3 linked regions of the Astyanax mexicanus genome follow. The protein of the gene in region 2 interacts with the protein of the main gene of each other region in a biochemical or structural test. Links are inferred from orthologs where the notes say so. Each region holds a gene or a part of one and is shown on either strand. Other genes may lie near its edges. The genes, in order: lig1, histone-lysine N-methyltransferase EHMT2-like and cbx3a.

The links.
Region 1: of the proteins of histone-lysine N-methyltransferase EHMT2-like (region 2) and lig1, one has a biochemical effect on the other in vitro, tested with the Homo sapiens proteins (3 studies listed by BioGRID). The link is inferred for Astyanax mexicanus from reciprocal best matches to the Homo sapiens genes EHMT2 and LIG1.
Region 3: the proteins of histone-lysine N-methyltransferase EHMT2-like (region 2) and cbx3a are reported together in a solved structure, tested with the Homo sapiens proteins (2 studies listed by BioGRID, with this or other methods). The link is inferred for Astyanax mexicanus from reciprocal best matches to the Homo sapiens genes EHMT2 and CBX3.

What each region holds. Positions count from the first base shown.
Region 1 is NC_064411.1:574,196-581,350, reverse strand, and holds the start of lig1 (DNA ligase 1), read left to right. Parts: upstream 1-4,041; 5' UTR 4,042-4,175; coding exon 4,176-4,192; intron 4,193-5,706; coding exon 5,707-5,769; intron 5,770-5,878; coding exon 5,879-6,056; intron 6,057-6,456; coding exon 6,457-6,622; intron 6,623-7,155.
Region 2 is NW_026040041.1:5,516,380-5,523,416, forward strand, and holds the start of histone-lysine N-methyltransferase EHMT2-like, read right to left. Parts: upstream 3,018-7,037; 5' UTR 2,922-3,017; coding exon 2,913-2,921; intron 1,929-2,912; coding exon 1,889-1,928; intron 987-1,888; coding exon 909-986; intron 806-908; coding exon 606-805; intron 1-605. Other genes in the region: uncharacterized protein LOC111190472, read right to left, coding at 5,499-5,567, 5,681-7,037. UniProt on the Homo sapiens protein: Histone methyltransferase that specifically mono- and dimethylates 'Lys-9' of histone H3 (H3K9me1 and H3K9me2, respectively) in euchromatin.
Region 3 is NC_064410.1:62,356,804-62,363,873, forward strand, and holds the start of cbx3a (chromobox protein homolog 3a), read left to right. Parts: upstream 1-4,063; 5' UTR 4,064-4,211; intron 4,212-7,070.

The sequences.
Region 1 (7,155 bases), on a different chromosome or scaffold from region 2:
AAACGTAAAATAAAAGCTAATCAAAGCTAATTTCAGCTCACCATCACAATCCCCCCCTTCTGAAAACATATGATAAAGCCCTAAAGTTAACTAGTTAACCAGCAGCAGCAGCTAGGTTGCTGAACTTTAGCGCTCCACTGCTATAGTTAGCTATATCTGTATCGGGTGCTTGAAGTGTTGTCTCAAATCTTAGGGGGAGGATTTAATCTGACACTGGGAGCCTGAAAGGGTTAAATAATGAATCAGTACAGAAGGCAGCTTGGTGTGGCACATCATGTGATTGGTCATTAGAACGCTGTTCCCGTCAAAGATGAAATGAAAGCACTTTTTACGGTGCTGCCATTGGCATTTCTCACTGCCACAAACAATAATATACTGTAGCTACAAAACAAATACAGTTCATTTACATCATTTCCAAACCAGTTCTAATAGAAACAGAGACAGGAAGTAATCAGATTACAGTTACAGTAATGTTTTCATTCCTTTTATTCGTTCTTTAATTGACTTTAATTGATTAAAACAATTCTGTAACATGAGACAACACGCCAAAACAAAAGTGAAAGTATGATTAGAGAAGTGATATGCTGCTGGTGTTACATCAACTGACAGCAATGCAGGTAAGAATGCCTTCGTGGAAATTTGTGAACTTTCCTGGAATTGAAAATCTGCACGTAGTGAGATTATGCAATACTTATATACATGTAAACAGAATGTGAAAATTATTAGTGTCAATTATTATTCATGGATAATATGAACCAGATCCTTCCATCGGATTGCCAAATGCATGATTTCAGAGAAATTCAAATAACACTATATATTTGTTATGCTTTTAAATGTGCGAAATTGTAGAAACTGTATAATGCTCAAGTTAGACCTGAATAAAACTTGTGTTGTTGTTTCTTATTTTAACAGCAGTTAAAATGCTTATACGATTAAAAGACATTGAAGCATTTTTTTTGTTAAGGAAACCCATTAAACACACCAAACAAACACAGGCTTCGCAAATATAGAGCATAGTACTCAACAGGGACTCTGTTTTACTAGGTTTAGTTTATTAATTCATTAATTATTATGTCTCCTTTATATTGTTCACTCAGTAAAAAAAATCACTAAAATCACTGAAAGGATTTTGTTTTATATTAGCTGATGTTAGTTATTCTGTGATTCTGTGTCTCTTAGCATAATTTTGTTTTATTTTCTGTTTTGAATGTAGAGTGAGGCTATCTGTTCTCATCCGCTTCCAAAAATGTGAAGTCAAAGAAGAAGTTGAAGGTTTTACCGAGGAGGAGGAGAAGGAGGAGGCCACTGAATATTGAGTAGCAGTTTCTCAGGACTGACTGTTTTCTCTTGAACTGAGGACTTTTATTGTAGTACAAAATAATGTTGTATTTAAAAAAAAAGGTTTTGCATACTACATTCTCCAAATAAGGATGCAACATTTCCAACCCACTGTACTTTTACTTTTATACTTGAAGTAGTTTTGAAACCAGTACTTTTACACTTTATTTTTGAGTAAAAAGCTGTTGATACCCCAGATACTTAAGTATTTCTAACCCCTAGTATCTACACTTTTACCTCAGTCATGAATGTGAATACTTTCTACACTTCTGTTAAACTCTGACAGAGATGTACATGCGCAGTTTCACTTTGGGCCAAAGGTTTGGAACCTATGCCTCCTAGTGGAACAAGAGGCAAAAAAAGATGTGAGTCAATAATTAAGGACTAAATACATACAGTATGTGAATTAGATTAAGAGCCATTCCACTGAATCTGTGTTTTTTCTGTTCCCATGCAATTACATATATAAATGTGCACACAAAATAACTTTAATAAAAACTATTTAGAACACTGAAAAAATAGCATTTGTTACCTGTCCCCACTCTCTAACTATAAATTTTACCATGAAATATAATTATTAAAATCCTTCAGAGATATGATTATTTTGCATTTTAAAATAATCATCTTTTTAAAATGTGTTTTTTTTCATAATAAATCCATAATATTTAAGTTAAACATTTTGTTGTGTCCCTGGGTTTCACTCAGTCCTGTTACCGTAACACATTACCCCTTATCATTTACAACAGGAAGTGACATCAGCTGGTTATTCTGAAGATCCCTCATTTGTTTTTTCTATATATATATATATATATATATATATATATATATATATATATATGGAGAAGTTCTAGTAACAGGAGTGAGTGACAGTAACAGGACTGTTTTTTCGTCTTAAATATCAATTTTTGAACATGCTGTCAACTATTTCTTTAAAATAAAGACTTTCTTCAAATAAACTCAATGGAATTGAGTGGACTTGCTTTTACATATGCTTTTTAAATGTCACATTAGTTTTATGACCATCTTCGGATTAGAAACCTTGTAAAAAAAAAACAAGTAAAGCTGCCTGAGTTTGACAAGTACATGTTTTGAATAGTTAAATATATGTTATTAGATTCATAGTTTCAAAAAAAAAAAAAAAATTGGAAGAGTTACAACAAGGAAATGGCACTTATTCGGTGGAATGGCACGTAAATAAATAAATAAATAAATGTGTGTTTAAGTACTGTTTTACTTAAAACACACACAATCGTATGTTGATATTTTTAAGGAAATTAAAAATATATATATATTTTGAATATTTTTTTGCATTTGTCATTATTACAGTGAATCAGTTCATTATTACACATGAATCATAAGAAATAAATCCCAATGCTTTATTTATGATTATTCTCCTCCAGTCCAGCACGCGGCGCACTCTGCAGCTCGCGCGCCCTCCCAGGCCGTGGGGCGCGCGTTTATTATAGAAAGTTCGATTCTGATTCCGAATCGACTCCTTTGACTCTTTTTAGTGAATCAGTGACTCAAAGACTCATTGAACGTCTAGCCATCTTTCTACACGTTTTTATAAACATTACAAGCTTTTTACTACAAGAGTGAAAATAAAATAATAAAGATAGAGTATAAAGGAGTGAATAAACAGCTGGAGTTTGTGTCGATCACTACAGTATAAAGTGCTGTAGACTCAGAACAGCGAACATGATTGCATGTTTTATTTATATTTGCTCATTAATGTTTTAAATTTTAGACTTTTATGTTTCACAGATGTTTTTAAAATAATTTAGACATTTCATCAATTTATTTAGTTAGTTTCCTAAAACCCTTTTTTTGCAGAAGCACCCCACAGTTCTGACTTTTTAAAGTCAAATGAAAATAAGCATAAACTTGGACCTGTGTAACACTGAAATCGCACTAAATGACATTTCAGCACAATTTTACCCCCTGATTTTGAATTGTGATGATCGAGTCTGTACTAGTTGGCTCTAGTTTGCAGTCAGAGTGAACGTCTTGTACTGTTTAATGGCCTGAGACTCGATTTTTAGCTTCAAAAACCGACTTCAGTCACATAAAATCAAATGTTTGATGTTTTCAAGTCAATTTTTGGGGTAATCTGGTAGTGTAAACTCTTCACCAACTCAAGTCTGAACCGACTCCATTGGCCGCCAATGAAAACAGACTGATTCCGAGCATCAAGGAGCCGTAAATGATATGCGGTAGACTCCCGCAATTTCCGGGAGACTTGGGAGGGCTGTGTACTGTAGCCAAGGCTTTTAAGTGAAGTGGATAACCTGAGAGCTTACGCACTTCCAATTTTTTTTTGTAATATCAAATTATCAAAATTTGCCATTTTTGGTTAAACAACATAAATCACATAAAATAAAAGAATAATACATTAAACTGAATGTATGGTACATAAATCATAAAAAAAATACTTTGTCAATATTCTTTAAAATTTCACCCTTGAAAGAAGAATGTTTGAGAAGAAATACTAGCTACCAAAAGAAATATCCTCCATCATTTTAATATCAGAATCACAGAACTTTTTCAATTATTTTAATCAATATACATTGTACATTTCATTAATAACGGGAAGGACAGTAAAGTACCAAGCACTGGTACTGAAAGCTTCTGCCAGTGTTTACTGAATCACTGAATCGCTGATTCCCTCGGCTCACGAAAAAGAACCGGTTCAAAGAGTGATTCAGTTGACGTCAGTTTGGCGCCGAATGGTCGGGGTTTGAGCGCGCGGGAGATTGTGCGGATGGAAACAGTGGAGCTGCTGTAGAAACGGATTATCTGAATTCTGATCTTAAATCGAATTTAATTCAGGAGTCACCATGCAGCGTAGCATCGCGTGAGTGTCCTCGTCTAATATAACTCTAATATAACTCCAATATAACTCTAATATAACTCAGTGTCCGGAGATAAACTCTGTAGTTAGCTTAGCTGAACTTTTCACTGATAGAGTAGCTGAGTTAGCCCTGCTGTGAATATTAAACTCCAGCTAGGCTAGTCTAATAGTTAAGTTAGCTTAGCTATACAAATATCTGGCTATGTTAATTTACCTAAATAACTGTACTGTAGGTAGAAAAGTTGAGATAATGCTAGCTGGGTTTAGCCGTGGCTAACTGAACCTCCTGATAATGGAGAATTGAAGCAGCATTTTCCGTTGGGGAACAAAGATAACTAACGTTGGTTAGCTAAGTTATTTAACTATCTACGCTAAGCTAAGCTAAGCTAAGCTATGCTATCCTAGCTAACTAGTGTCAGTTTACCCTCACAGAGTATTTTACCTGGTTAAAGCCTGAGTTTAATCTCGCTGAAACCGAGGAACAGACTCTCTCACAGATCCTCAGAGCTGTGCTGTTAGTGAACTGCAGGCTGATTTAGCCTGAAACGAGTTTTAGCCACATAAATTACACTCTGTAATTGCGTTTTACTAGTGAACACTTTCTGGCTTTCCGTAATGCAGTTTTTACTCCAATTTCAGATGTAATTTGTATTCTTGTGCCCGAAAACGGCACGTGTGAAATTCTCATTAATTTACAACAAACTTGTCAGAACTGAATTAGAAAGATTTTATTCGCATTTGTACTGGTCAGAATTAATTTCTGCTACTCAAACAACTCAAAATCAGAACATCTGCAACATGACCTGATGCTTTAGCCTAAAATAGCACCATCGGTACAAACCCTGAATCCTGTTTTTACTGCTAAAAGCTCACAGATTTCTGTAATGCAGTTTCTACTCATTTCAGATCAGTCATTGTATTAGTCACCCAAAACTGCTCATGTGTTGAATACTTATTATTCTAAGCTGGTTAAAAGTACATTAGAAAGGTCCTGAATTAATGTAATACATTTATTATTAATACCTTCTTGTAAAAAAGAAAAAACTATAATGAACTTTCGTGAACTATCATTTAAGATTAGGATTGGGTATACTTTTTATGTTCACAATTGAAGTGAAAAATTATATTGGCCATCATTTTCCTTTGGTAGATATGCCATTAATTATGAGAACATTGCAAATTTTCCTTTTAAATCAGGCACCAATTTATTTTTTTTACACATTAATTAAAGATATTGCATGATCTGTGATTTGACTGGCTTTTTTTTATATATAACTAAAACTACATTAAGGGCTTGTCCTCCTATATAGATCTGTAGGTTTCAGATTACTAGTAAATGTACATAGCTTTCAGAACACTTTGGGTCGGTTTCCAGGACATCGATTAAGACTATGTTTTGCTTTCTGTTGAAAATGCAGACTAGACTTAATGCCCTTTCTGGAAATCTTCCCCTTGTATCTTAAATTATTGTTATGCTACTATGTCGCTTCATTTAATTCGTGCATCTGCTTCCTCAGGTCTTTTTTCCAGCCGATGAAATGTAAGGAGAAGAAAGACGAACCAGCTAAAGTGAAGTCTGAGTAAGTAAAGTTGCCCAGCCTTTTTTTTTTTTAAATATCTCTATACTAATATAGGCTTTGCGTAAATATTCGCCATCTGCTGTTTTTTATACTCTTTCTTGCCACCCAGACCAATCAAAAGCCCACTGAAAACTCAGAATGGTGAGAGAGACTGTGATTCTCCTGTAAAGAAGACAAGCAAACGAGCTCGAGCGATCATCGACAGTGATGATGAAGAACAGCCGACAGTAAAGAACGAGGTCTCCAAGCAGGAGGAAGAACAAGCTACCAAGCCGGACAAGGAGAAGGTACAGCGCGTTTTACTCGCCTGATTACAGTGTGTTTAATGGGACTGCAGAAAAACCCTTAGGGTTTTTATAACATTGAGCAATGAACTTTTAATTGTTAAGGTCTCAATGCTGAGTGTCTCAAAATAGGTAATATTGAGGTAAAAATGGTTGAGCTCATGTTTGTCTTGCATGGTGAGTTGGTAACCTAAATAGGTCTAAATATAGTTCTTTGGTTTCAAGAGTGAGTAACTGAATTGTGTTGTCTTGCATGCAAAGTTATGTTAAGTTGTAATTGGGATAAGTACTAAACAAAGGTAGTTAATGTTATTAAATTACATTTCTTTTTGTTTATTCACTGCTTTAGTGCTTTGTTATTAATAACAAACTTCCATTCTTTTTTGTTTTCTTTCACTGATAGGCCGATGTTAAAGTCAGTGCCAGTCCACTTTCACCAAAGCCCCTCGCTACCCCAACAACCCCCGCCACGCCGGCAACTCCAGCATTATCTGCAGCTTCAGGCACACCTGGAACTCCTGCTACTCCAAATTCCACCTCACCCTCTGGAATTCCAAAACGCAGGACTGGTGAGTGTCTGTCTGCACGTTGGATTGGATTTCTTTTTCATAGTTACTGCAGTGTTTCTGCTACATAGGTTCTGCAGCTGTGGTACTGGTACTGGAGAAAAGTGTATTACACTAGCTAATATCAAGTTAAATATTTGGTTTTACATTTTAGAACAACATTCACAATATAGGGCAAAGCTCATCACAAACTGCTAGCATGCTTCAATGGACAGACGCCATACAGTGTTTGCTATAATGTGCCCTGCAGCATTTTAACAGTACTACTTTGAATTTTAAACCATATTGAGACAACATAAATCCAGAATTGTGAGTTTGCTAAGCTAATATTACTATCCTAGCCCTGTACAGCTCCTTATCTTTCAGTTGGAAAACAGTTTGTGAGGAGTTTGTAAACTGATAGCAAGCATAAGTAATACATTAAGTATAAATAAAAAGTATATTGGCATTACATTTTTGCCTCACTGCCAGCATTGTATTTAACAGGGCTCTAATATTAGGGTTGCCAGATTGCAACAGTCCACCTAGCGGAAAGA
Region 2 (7,037 bases):
CCTATAATTGATTCAGTCATTTCCATATATATCATTCTGTACCCAACACAAATAATTCAGTATCTACTACAAAAATGACTCAGTAAATCCTACAAATGATTCAGTCGCTACCATATGTATAATTATGTACCCAACACAAATGATTCAGTATCTACTACAATATGATTCAGTTAGCTGTATAAATGATTCAGTATCTACTACAATATGATTCAGTTAGCTGTATAAATGATTCGGTATCTACTACAATATGATTCAGTTAGCTGTATAAATGATTCAGTAACTACCATATATTATTTTGTACCCAACACAAGTGATTCAGTATCTACCTTAAATGATATATATATTTAATTCTACTATAAATATATATATATATAAATATATATATATATATTTAATTCTGTATCTACTATAAATTATTCAGTATCTACTACAAGATGATTCAGTAACTACCTTATATAATTCTGCACCTAATACAAATGATTCAGTATCTGCTACGTATGATTTAGCATCTAATAGACATAATTCAGTTCCTGCTATAAATGACACATTACCTAAAAATAATTCAGTCACTGTTATAACAGTAATATGTAATTGCTAATGGTCACCTGTGTGATGGGGGGTCTGTTCATGGTCTTGCGGGCGCGGTGGACTTTAGGGGGTGGGGCTGAGGAAGAGGAGGATGAAGAAAGAGAGGAAGAGGAGGAGGAGGAGGAGGGGTTTTTACTGCCCGGCCCACATACACTCATCTTCGCTCGACCGGAGGATGCAGACGGAGACGAGGGAGGAGCGGACTTAGCAGCATGACCTGAGAGAGAGAGAGAGAGAGAGAGAGAGATCAGCGGTCACATGATCATGGTGGTGTAATTTGATTGGACACAGCAGAGCTTGCGTGTTAACTGCAGGTTTACCTGTATATGGTTTGGTGAAGCTGGACGTCGCTGTGTTCTCACTGCTCCCCCCATCTTTCTCCTTCTCCTTTAGACTCTCTTTAAAGATAAAGGTAAATTAAGATAAGTCAGGAAACCAACTTTTATTGAGAGACTTTAGTTTAATGTGTAGAAAGTAAGAAGAGACAAATTTGGTGAGACAGACTCCTTAACATGTGTTTCTTTAAATTTTACCAAATTAAAAACCTCTGGAATATAATCAAGAGGAAGATGGATGATCACAAACCATCAAACCACCAAACTGAACTGCTTGAATTTTTGCACCAGGAGTAAAGCAGCATAAAGTTATCCAAAAGCAGTGTGTAAGACTGGTGGAGGAGAACATGATGCCAAGATGCATGAAAACTGAGATTAAAAACCACCAGGGTTATTCCACCAAATATTGATTTCTGAACTCTTAAAACTTTATGAATATGAACTTGTTTTCTTTGCATTATTTAAGGTCTGAAAGCTCTGTATCTTTTTTTTTTTGTTATTTCAGACATTTCTCATTTTCTATAAAATAAATGCTCTAAATGAGAATATTTTTATTTGGAATTTGGGAGAAATGTTGTCTGTAGTTTATAGAATAAAACAACAATGTTCATTTTACTCAAACATAAACCTATAAATAGCAAAATCAGAGAAACAAATTTTCTTATCGTATCTTCCCCTCTGATTTTAGCTGACTCCACCCTAAGATCAAATTTGAAAACAGGTTAAAAAAATAATGTGAAGAGTAGTTTGGGAGGAGCACTTGGTGATGTATGGGTTTAGGGGCGGAGCAGAGTGGAGAGCTGACTGGCCTAAGCAGTACTTCTCAGTGAGACGCGTTTACCACAATAAAAGAGCTTTTTTTTAAAGGTTAGAAAGTGTTTATTAAAATTTAAGCAGGACTGGTGTATTTCATTACTTCTAAGGAACACGTAGGTTAGAGTGTGTATGAAGGAGAGGAGCATCACCTGAGGGTTTGGAGTGCGCTGGTCGGCTCTCAGATGGACTCTGGACAATAAAACAACAGAATAAATCACATTACAGACCTTTACAGGTACTTTCCAACATTATTTTTTAAATTAGGCTGGTTTTAAACGTTGTCAGAAGAGGTTCAGCATGAAGTGCTGTAAGATTTTGACTTTAGACTTGATAATAAAACACAGTGGATCAACACCAGCAGATATCAGACATGACTCTCCAAACCATCACTGATTGGTGGAAACTTCACACTAGACCTCGAGCAGTTTGGACTGTGTGTCTCTCCACTCTTCCTCCAGACTCTGATACCTTGATTTACTTTAAATGAAATGTAAAATTTACTGATGATCAGTGGTGGTTTGGAGAGGCATGTCTGTCATCTGCTGGTGTTGATCCACTGTGTTTTATTATCAAGTCTAAAGTCAGTGCAGTTTTGTTTTCCCACAAAATCTTACAGCACTTCATATCTTACAGCTTCCCTCTGCTGAAAACAACTTTTATAGAGATGCAGATTTCATTTTCCAGCAGGATTTGGCACACTGCCCACACTGCCAAAAGTACAATTGGTCTTATTTTGGGTTTTCATTGGCTGTAAGCCATAATCATCAACAATAAAATAAATAAACTCTTAAAATAGACCACTCTGTTTAATACATCTATATAATATTATGAGTTTCACATAAATACATGTCATAATGTTATAATGAATAATAACAGTAGGTAACTGAATGCTCTATTCACTGCTGTATTATTAGATTATCTACCAGACTGCAGTAATAACACAGTGTTCACAGTTTATATACCTATAAAAACACTATAAACACATATTTACCCCCAGCTACAGTGTTAATAAGTATAATGTTGTGTATTTATCAGTGTATAAATCAGTGTGTGATTAATAATAAAGATAAAGAGCTGTAGATCATTATTTATCCTCTAAACCCGGGATTAATCCGCTCACACTCAGTTAAACTGGTTAAATCAATCTTTAATCTGCTGTTAATCTGAACTCACCTCCTCCATGTCTCTCTCTCTCTCTGCAGCTTTTCTTTATTAAACACAGAAAAACTCAAACAGTAAAGAGATAAAAACACACCGGAGCGGGGCTCCGTTCAAAATGGCTACAGGAGAAACGCGCCTTCAAAATAAAAGTCCCCTTTCGCAAACCGTTTACTTACCCGCCGCGACTCCCACAGACTGAGACAGTTAGCTGAACATTAGCTGAACATTTAACTAACATTCAAGCAACGTTTAACTAACCTTCAATTAGCAATCGCTTCATTCATGTTTAAATAGTGCTCACCTGACATTCAAGCAACGTTCACCTAACACTCACCTGACATTCAATCAACGTTTAACAAACGTTCACCTAACATTCAAGCAATGTTCAACTAACAATTACTTAATATTTTATCAGGTTCAAAAAATATTTAATCAGGTTAAAAAAAAAATTCAAGTAACACTTACTAACGCTTGCTTAACATTTAGGCAACGTCTAACTAACGCTCACTTAACATTTACGCAATGTTTAACTAACAATTACTTAATATTTAATCAGGTTTAAATAGTGCTCACCTAACATTCAAGAAATATTCAACTAACACGCACCTAACATTCAAGCAAGGTTTAACTAATGCTCACTTTACATTTAGGCAACGTCTAACTAACGTTCACTTAACATTTAGGCAACGTCTAACGCTCACTTAACATTTAGGCAACGTCTGACTAACGCTCACTTAACATTTACACAATGTTTAACTAACAATTACTTAATATTTAATCAGGTTTAAAAAGTGCTCACTTAACATTCAAGTAACACTAACGCTTGCTTAACATTTAGGCAACGTCTAACTAACGCTCGCTTAACATTTACGCAATGTTTAACTAACAATTACTTAATATTTAATCAGGTTTAAATAGTGCTCACCTAACATTCAAGAAATATTCAACTAACACGCACCTAACATTCAAGCAAGGTTTAACTAATGCTCACTTTACATTTAGGCAACGTCTAACTAACGTTCACTTAACATTTAGGCAACGTCTAACGCTCACTTAACATTTAGGCAACGTCTGACTAACGCTCACTTAACATTTACACAATGTTTAACTAACAATTACTTAATATTTAATCAGGTTTAAAAAGTGCTCACTTAACATTCAAGTAACACTAACGCTTGCTTAACATTTAGGCAACGTCTAACTAACGCTCACTTAACATTTACGCAATGTTTAACTAACAATTACTTAATATTTAATCAGGTTTAAATAGTGCTCACCTAACATTCAAGAAATATTCAACTAACACGCACCTAACATTCAAGCAAGGTTTAACTAATGCTCACTTTACATTTAGGCAACGTCTAACTAACGTTCACTTAACATTTAGGCAACGTCTAACGCTCACTTAACATTTAGGCAACGTCTGACTAACGCTCACTTAACATTTACACAATGTTTAACTAACAATTACTTAATATTTAATCAGGTTTAAAAAGTGCTCACTTAACATTCAAGTAACACTAACGCTCACTTAACATTTACACAATGTTCAACTAACAATTACTTAATATTTAATCAGGTTTAAATAGTGCTCACCTAACATTCAAGAAATATTCAACTAACACGCACCTAACATTCAAGCACGGTTTAACTAATGCTCACTTAACATTTAAGCAATGTTCACCTAACGTTCAAGCAACAGGGTAGTTTATTTGCTAACTAACGAAATCAGACATTGTCTGAGTAACAAAAATCTAAAAATTCAGTCCAGCTCCTTGGTTCAATAACAAAATCAGACTAATTCATTGTAAATAACAAAATCAGACCATCTTATTGGCTAAAAAACAAAATCAATCTAGCCAATTGCCTATTTATTGAATAACATAATCAGACTAGTTTATTTGCTGAAAAAACAAACAAGCAAGTAAGCTCATTGGCTTTAATATCAAAATTAGACTAGCTTATTGGCTAAGTAGCAAAATCAGACACTGGCGTAACACAAAAAAGCTCATTGGCTCATAACAAGATTCAGACCAATGCATTAGCTGATTAACAAAATCAGACTAGCTTATTGGCTGAATAACAAAATCAGACCAGCTTATTGGCTGAATAACAAAATCAAAGCAGCTTATTGGCTAAATAACAAAATCAGACCAGCCTATTGGCTGAAAAACAAAATCAGACCAGTTTTTTGCTAAATAACAAAATCATAGCTTATTGGCCAAATAACAAAAACTGGGGAGCTTATAGACTGAATAACAAAATCAGACTATCGTATTGGCTGAATAAGAACATCAGAGCAGCCTATTGGCTGAATAACAAAATCAGACTAGCTTTTTGCTAAATAACAAAATCCGACCAGCTTATTGGCTGATTAACAAAATAAGACTAGCTTATTGGCTAAATAACAAAATCAGACTAGCTCATTGGCTGAAAAATGAAATTAAACATGGGCTAACAACTATTAATTAGACATGCTAACAAAATTAGACCACATTATTTAGAGAATAAAATACAACTTAGGCTTGCTTTTTAGCTGAATAACAAAATAAGACTTTGGTTTCAGAACAAAAGTAGACCAGCTGTGATGGGAAGGTTTTATTCAGAGTCTTCGTTAGCTTCCTCAGATTCACTGCTAGAACTGGAGTCCTCTAGGATCAGGTAATTCTGGAAAAACAGAAAGCATGAATTTTCAGAGGCATAATCAGATTAGTTTGAACAGGACTGGGTTCATGGAAATGGGTGTAGATCATCGTGTACAGTGCCATCTTTAACCTCACCTTATTGTGAGCGTCGCCACCACAAGCGTCTGGGAAACACTGTGTGAACTTGACCTCCTTCAGAGGTACAACACTGGTTCCCTTTTCCCCCGATGGTGTTGTTTCAGCCGTCCGACACATTTTCCATAATCTGAAGGAAGGTTTTTCCTTCTTTTCCTTCTCTAATCCGATAGCCGTACGTGCCGCCAGTATGTGGCAGCAGTGGTGAGCCAAGAAGCAAGAGCATCGTTCTTCTGGGTAGACTTTAACAACGTATTTCTGGCCCCTCCACCCCGTTACAAAGAACGACTTTATGCTGGGCTCAAGACTTATTTTGTTCTTCTCAATGATCAGTTCTGCCATTGGTCGCATTGATGCCAGGTCGTACCCTCCTGATGCCTCCTGCTCTGGCATGGTGTCACTGTCATCAGCCAAACTGTTCTTAAAGAAGTGGACAATCTCTTTCGGGGTCATAACAAACTCTGGGAAGTCAACATCATCCATGTCGGTAGCACTTCTGGAGCTTGCGGGAGTGGGTTTGTAGGGCCCCATGTTGCAACTGCTTCTCAAGACTTCGTTTAGGAAGTACATCGAGATCTGGAATGTCGTGAATACAGTCGTTTCCAGTCTGAGTTTCCTATGCCTCATCTGTATCAGCATCATACTGAGTTCTTGAAAAGTACTAGTGATCTTTTCATCTTCTGGTAGGCCAAGTGCTTTGAGGGTAAACCTGGCAGACCTTTTTGTCAGGGCCTCCAGGTGCATCTGGAAGTACTCAAGGAAGGCAGTGCTCCAGGTAACAGAAAAGTAACCAAGTTTAACCCTCCATTGTTCTTCAGTTTCCGAACAAATAAGACTCCTCAAATTGTTCATGTACCCTTGCACATTGTCCTCAATGTCATCCTCTTCACAAAACATCACTTTGTATCTCAGATGGTACAGAACTTGACGGAAGCTGTTGAATGCAGAAGCGTTGGGTAAGACATTTTTGACAGAGTTCTCAACGACAGCCTCGCAATCAGTGCAAATCACAAATCGATTGGAGTTCAGATCTGGCAGAAGACATAGAAGTTCCTCTAGAAATATGGTGTGAGCTCTCTCTTTCTGGCACTGGTGAATGTGGAAAGCTAACGGAAAAGTTGGGCTCTCCTCAAAATCATTGTGGCAAAAAAGAAGAGGCGTCACGTAGAAGTTCTCCAGGTTAAATGTGCTGTTGTAGTAGAGGATATGCGTTACGCATGGATCTGAATTCTTCAGCATCACTTGGAACTGCTCGGTCATCTCGGGCAATGCAGCGACGATAATCACATCTGGGTAAACACTCATATGAACAACGAAGTCCTTCAGCTCCCTGCACATCATTTGAGTCGCCATTATG
Region 3 (7,070 bases), on a different chromosome or scaffold from region 2:
AGACGAGACGTTTGCTTGAAAGAGCTTAAAGAGTGGTGATCTGTTCTACCTCATACCGTAACCATTAGATCCCCAAAGTTAAAAAAATGAATGAAATATGGTGAGAATTACCCCCAATCCCCAACAAACACACCCTTTAATCCTTAAACTGTTCCTTAAATAATTCCTCTGAAATTGCGGTGTTCTGATTTGTGCAAGGATTCCTATTTTCCGATTAATAAAGGAAGATAAATTAATAACTTTATGCTTCTTGTTGTTGTCTAAGTCTCCTCGTGTATGTGTGGGTTTCCTCTGTGGACTATGGTTTCTTCCCACAGTCCAAAAATATGGAGATCAGGTAAATTAGATACTCTATATTGTCCTGATGTGTATGTGTGGGTGTATGTATGACTTTGCCGAGATATGGGTGGTGTTTTCCGGTTGAGAGTACGCTCTGTGTGATTGGCTGATGCTTGTCACTGGTGTGTATGTGGTTGAGTGCAATACATGATTCTAAAGCATCATTGGGTGTCTAGAAAAGAGCTATATACATGTAGTTTCATTAAATTAAACACTTTTTAGGCATATGAATGACCAAAGCACAGCTTGGGTCCTCCAATAAATAATATACTTCTCATATTTCTCATTATAATAAATAGATTTTCAATAAAAAGGGTAGCTAGGCAAATGTACGTTTTAAACTGGAGATATGTGGCTAAAGTAGATAACTGTGGATTATGTAATGCTGTAACTGTAACTAAGTCACCCTGTTACTACACTTTTAAAAAATATATAGTTTTATCTAGAAGAAATCAAATTAACCAATTGGTTTTGCTTTCAAACAAAAAACAAGGCAAGAAATGTGGAGTAAGATGTCAAATCTGAATGAACTTGATATAAAACATGATTGTTCATGCTATATGGTTCATATAGTTGTGAAAAAAACAAGCAATTTTCAGGTCTAGGTAAGTTTTGGAAAAAATAAGTGCTATATAAGTGCAAGAGGGATGCTGGACGACTGAACAGGCTGGTGAGGAAAGCTGGTTCTGTGCTGGGATTAGAGCTGGAGTCCTTAACACCACTGGCAGAGAGGAGAGCCCTCAGCAAGCTGCTGAACATCATGGACAATGTTCACCACCCTCTGCACAGCACCATCACCAGGCAGAGGAGCTCATTCAGCGGCAGACTGCTGTCCCAGTCCTGCTCCACAGACAGACTCCGAAAGTCTTTTGTCCCTCAGGCCATAAGACTTTTCAACTCCTCTCAGCACAGCAAACTGAAGACTCTGTGACACCTTTTCTTTCCAGCAATTCTGGCCACACCATGGACATACCCCCATCTATGGTCACACTATCATGCTGATGCCCATAACACTATTTTTATAGTTCTACCCTATTTTGCACTAGTAGTTCATTCACTAGTTCATTCATCTACTGTTTACGTATCTTTTGCACTGCTAAATTTAAATTATTATATAACTGTGTATTTGCACTTTCTGTATGGCGGACATCAGTTATCCTTATCCTTACTTTATGCACATCAACTGGTGTTCGCTGTCTATTGTGTTCAACTGCACTACCTCCATTTTACATCACACACACTAAAGACTGTACTTTTATAATTTCATTTTATTTTTTATTTTGTTGTATTTATATGTATCATTTATATATATATATATATATATATATATATATATATATATATTTTTTTTTTTTTCTTTTTATCTTTTTGTAACTTTGTGTACTATACACACCTGCTGCTGGATGTCAAGAATTTCCCCTCGGGGATCAATAAAGTATCTATCTATCTATATATCTATATATATTAAGTACTATACTGTACTATGCTGCTAAAGTAAGTATAGTTGGTGTTCTATTTATTTTGTGCACAGGTGTCAAGTAATAAAGTACAAATACTTTGTTTTCTTTCTTCAAAAGTACAATTTTGGTTATTGGTTATCTACACTGAAAATATTTTTCAGATGACTTTTTAGTTCTACTCCTTACATTTTATAAACAGCCTCGTTACTCCTATTTCATTTCAGCTCATTTTTATTCCTTCTTCTCGTCCTTCGATAAAACCCCTATCCAGATAAATCTCTCCATCCAGATAGAGTGAATCTGATTGTGATTGGATGTAGAGAAGTATAAACATATACCATTCCGACTTGGTTTATACTGTGATCCATCACACTCCAGCAAGAACATAACAGACGTATGTAGTCTAGTATGAAGATGATCCGTGCAGAGACTCAAGAGAACTCCAGATAAACTCCAGTCCAACTAAACTTCTTTAATATATTTACATTCATTTACAATGGGAATAAATGCAGCTGAAACACTAGAGAACAGCCTAGAGCATCACAAATTATATTATCAACATTCATATTTTAATATTTTAACATTATAGTCATTAGGGGTGTGCGATATGTCTCTAAAATAAAATCACGATATTTCAGGGTATTTTTGCGATAACAATATACTTGGCGATATAGCAAAACTAAAATAATTCATTCATTTCAGGAATATAGTATAATAATATAACAGTATAATCATAATGTGGCAAAATAAATAATATAGCATAAAATAATATAATGCAGCAAAAAATATTGTAGAATACAGAACAGCCCTATTATCATGATATGGATTTTTAATATCATGATATTTCTGTCACAATATATTGTATACGATATAATATTGCCCACCCCTAATAGTTATTATGGCTTTTAGAAAAATGTGTTTTTATTATACTTTAAGTAGTTTTGAAACCAGTACTTTTACTTAAAGAGTAAAAAGCTTGAGTTGATACTTCAACTTCTACAGAAGTATTTTAAACACTAGTATATATACCTTTTACTCTACCTGAGTAATGCATGTGTATGGAAATACTTTTCACACTTTTGGTCGCAGCACTACTTACCCAGTGTTGCCAACTCCTCAGTAAGGAAAGTAGCTATTGGCTGTCCTAAAAGTCGCTAGAAGTCGCTAAATGACGTCATCGCCTAATTTGCATAATACATGTTTTTGAAGCTGTAAAGTATTAGGGTTGTGGGAGAGAAAAAAGTGAGTAAAAACACCATAAATGTGTTAGAAATGTTATAAAGGAACAACTTCTGTTGTTTTTTTAAATAGGACGTCACTTTTTTTTACATTAACTTCATTTTTACGTGAATTACATAAATTAGTTTTTTGCCATGTTCTTAAATGTTATTAAAAGAGCAACCGGAACTGTTATTCTATGTTTTTTTTACTTTTTTTTTAGTTTGTTTGTTTTATTTTTATTTTTTATTTTTTTTACATTTTCTTAAGTTTTCTTTATTTTTAAATATATCATAGACAAATTGTTCAATAGTTCAATAGATATTTAGCTTTGTTTTATTTATTATTTTTTTTTAGCTTTGTATTTAGCTTTGTTTTATTTTATTTGTATTTTTTTACGTTTTCTTAAGTTTCCTTTATTTTTAAACCTATCATAGACAAATTGTTCAATGGTTCAATAGATGTTTAGCTTTTTATAAAGAGTGTAACTGTGGAGGAGGTGAGTGACAGGCTGTGTGGTGAATGAGGTGAGTGAATGACTGAGACAGTGTGAGTTAAATTAAGGGATTTCTGTTCGTGTCACACTGAAGACACAGTTATATTTATACTTCTGCTCTGTAAATACAGAGCGGGGTCAGTCAGCGGCGGCTGTGGGCACGCGCGATTCATTTACAGTGTGTTCGTGGAGCGGTGTGTGTGTGTGGGTCTGCACTGTGAGTGGTGTGGGGCGGGGCTCCCGGCAGCGCCCGCTGCAGCGCGGAGGACAGGAACTGAAGAGCGCGTGTTCATCTCAGAGTCGCCAAAAGTCTCCAATAACACCACAAAAACTCGCTAGATTTGTCGCTAGTCGCTTTTTTTTTTTTACAAAAAAAGTCGCTAGAGGGTCTGAAAAGTCGCTAAATATAGCGACAAAGTCGCTAAGTTGGCAACACTGTACTTACCAAGAGAAAAACCCAGGGAGTTTAAATCCCACGCCACGCCTCTTTTACCCCTTCGCAGGAAGCCATTGGCTGTGTGTGAGCACGTAGGGGCGTGGCTGCGCTGAGGGGGCGTGGCTTGACGCACATGTTTCTTCTGCAGCCGCTTAGAGGAGCTGCTGGTTGGCGCGCTGCCAGGTGAAGCCCTGCTGAAGAAGTCCACCGTCCTGCAGCCTCCTGCTCGCTCTGTCTTTACCGGTTTCTGCACAAAGTCAAAGTAAGTCCGTCGGTACGCGCCGTGCACGAGCGTTAGCGCGCGGTGCGTCCGCTTTAGCGTCGATTATTGATCGGTTTGCGCTCTGGTTCGTTCGCTAGCCGGCTCGTGCGCTTTTGTTCGCTTGTTTTTTCGCGCGCGCGCACGCTGCACACGCGGCGTTTTCCCGCTGCAGGGGGGCCGCGCGCTTTCAGTGTTTTTAGCGTTAACTAACTGCGGCGTTTTAACGCGGTAATAACCAGCGTTTTAACGATATTAGCACTGTGTTACTTAGTTAGTAGGTTAACTACGTTATTTTGGTTATATCTGCGTTTAAATGCATGAACTATGAACTAGCCGGCTAGCTAAGTACTTAGCTTGGTTTGAGACTAGTAACTTTAGCTAGATTTAGCTAGATTCATTTAAGTTATAGCTAAATATTGTTTTAAAATGACGCTGTACGACTAAACTAGTGTTTGTAAAGTCAGTTAAACACTACATAACATTAGTTCATTCTTAGTAAGCTAATGTATATGTTTATATTTGGCTGACTCCGTTTTTAGTGGCTAGGTTAACTAGGTAGTAAGCATTGTTGCACATACAGGCCTGTTCTTATTTGGATGTGGTTAACCAACTAAGTTATCTAACCCAGTTCTTTAGCTAGCTGAACAGTTAAGTTAACTAAGGATACAGTTTAATGAGCCAGTTGGCTTTGTTTATACTGGCATTTAAATGTATCAGCCGCCCATAAACCAGCCGGTTAGCTTTGGTAGCCTAGCTAGCTTGCTTACCTACGTTAGAAACTTTAGTAAGACCAGTACATTTCAATAGCTTTACTATTAACACTATTATCAAGTAGTTTTAAACCCAGTTATCATCACATGACGTTAGTTAATACATAGATAGCAAAAAAAAATAGCCACATATATTTAACTTTACTCTTGTAGTACACAAACTAGCTAATAAGCATGGTTACACATACAGGCCTGCTCGTATTTGGATGGTATCTACCTAATTAGGGTTATTTAACTTGGTCTAATTCTTGTAGATAAAGCAGTAAAATATTGTCTATAGCTAGCTTTAATTATTTGGCCTTAATTTCTTAGGCATTTAAGTGGATCAGCAGCACATTAACATTTAAGAGGGCTATCTAGCCTATTAGCTGGGTAGTTTAGCATACTCTTTTAAATTAAACCCGTAACTTGTATTACCGTGCTAGCTAGTTGTTTAACTTGGCTTTTAGGATAGTAGCTAAGCATTTGTAGTGGTAAATATTTAAGTCATATTAACTGCACATAACTGTATTTTAAGTTAATTTAAGATTGGATAAGGTAGCTAGCTAATACGCTGTGTTGCACATACAGGCCTACTCGTATTTGGATGCGTTAGCATTTGCTAACTAGGCGGCTAACGTGGTCTAGTAGTCGTCTAGCTAAATTTTTCTTTTAAGTATATATTTTTAAGTATATTTATTTCTAACTAACACAATTTAATTCAGTATTAGCCTTTACAAGCTAAGTTACGTTAATAATGAAAAATCCTTTTTAAAATGAGCTTCGGCCTACTCCTAGCTAGTTAGCATTAGCCTGTTAACTCGGTTAGCAAGCTAGCGAGCACAAAGCATCGTCGTTTTGTGGTTAAAATCTCGTGTGTGACTGTTAAACTCTGTCTACTTTGTAGGTAGAACATACATTCGTGATTTTATGCGTAATTCAGATTTTGTTGCCTTAATTCTTTAATGACCATCTCTGTTTTCGCCCTCTCCGTCGTAGCCAGCTAACGCTAATTAGCTTCAGTTGTTAGCTAAGCTAACGTTAACTAGCTGCAAAGCCAGCGTTTGGAAAGCTGAGGCGCCGGGTACAGAAACCGTGCAACAAATGCACCATTAAATACAGGATATTTTTATTTATAGTTAGTTAGTTTAGGTATTAAAACACACATTTATACATTGATGGCAGATAAATAGCAAGTTAGTCTTTTACAATGGCATAACAGATCAGAAGCAGCGTTTAAAGCTCCTGTATATAACAATGAAGTTGTGATATGTTACAAGATAACAATAAAAAATAAAAAAATAACAATCGTTATATTATTAGATTAAGGTCATAATAGTACGAAAGAATAAAGTCGCAGTATTTTGAGGAAAATATACTTCTAACTGCTTGGGCTGCTAGTTAAAAACAGAGCAAGTAGGAGGGAAATTAGCATTTTCTGCTCATGATCTGTTACAAGGCTGCTGTGATTATCATCAGTTCTCTATATTTCTAAACTGCTGCTGATTAATGCTCTAGTGTTACAATTAGATAGTACATTGTCCTGTGGTGGTGTCCCGATTTCCCCACCGTGATTGTATTTATGTTCCTTGGGTCTCAAAAAAGTCGTAAATAAAGGAAAAAAAAACTTTTACTGATGAGGAATGACTGGTACTGCTGTAAGCATTTAAGGTGGAACGAAAATCTGAAATGTTTTTGGTAATTTCCCATTTTTGTTTGCTCATCAAATAAACACACGATACAAGCCGTTGTTTGTTTTAGAATGAATGAATTAAATATATATTTTTTTAATTGTCCGACTTTAGATTCTCAGTTGAAAATCAAAGGAACAAATAGGTTTTAACAAAAGCAGGATAAATGGTAGAGATGCTAGAGTGGTGTAAAAAAAAACACAACAACCCAGTATTGGAGCAGCTCTGGAGCAGTGAAATTTTTCTTTTCTGGCATAATGAAGCTCTGTCCAAGCGAGCTGTCTGCAATATCTTATCGTATACAATGATCTTGAAAGCAGTTTTGTGGTATTTTGTTCTCATTTTGTTGCTTACTGTGTTTACTTTAAATTGTTTTGCAATTTACATGCACTAAATGTTACACTTGAGGTTTTTATCAC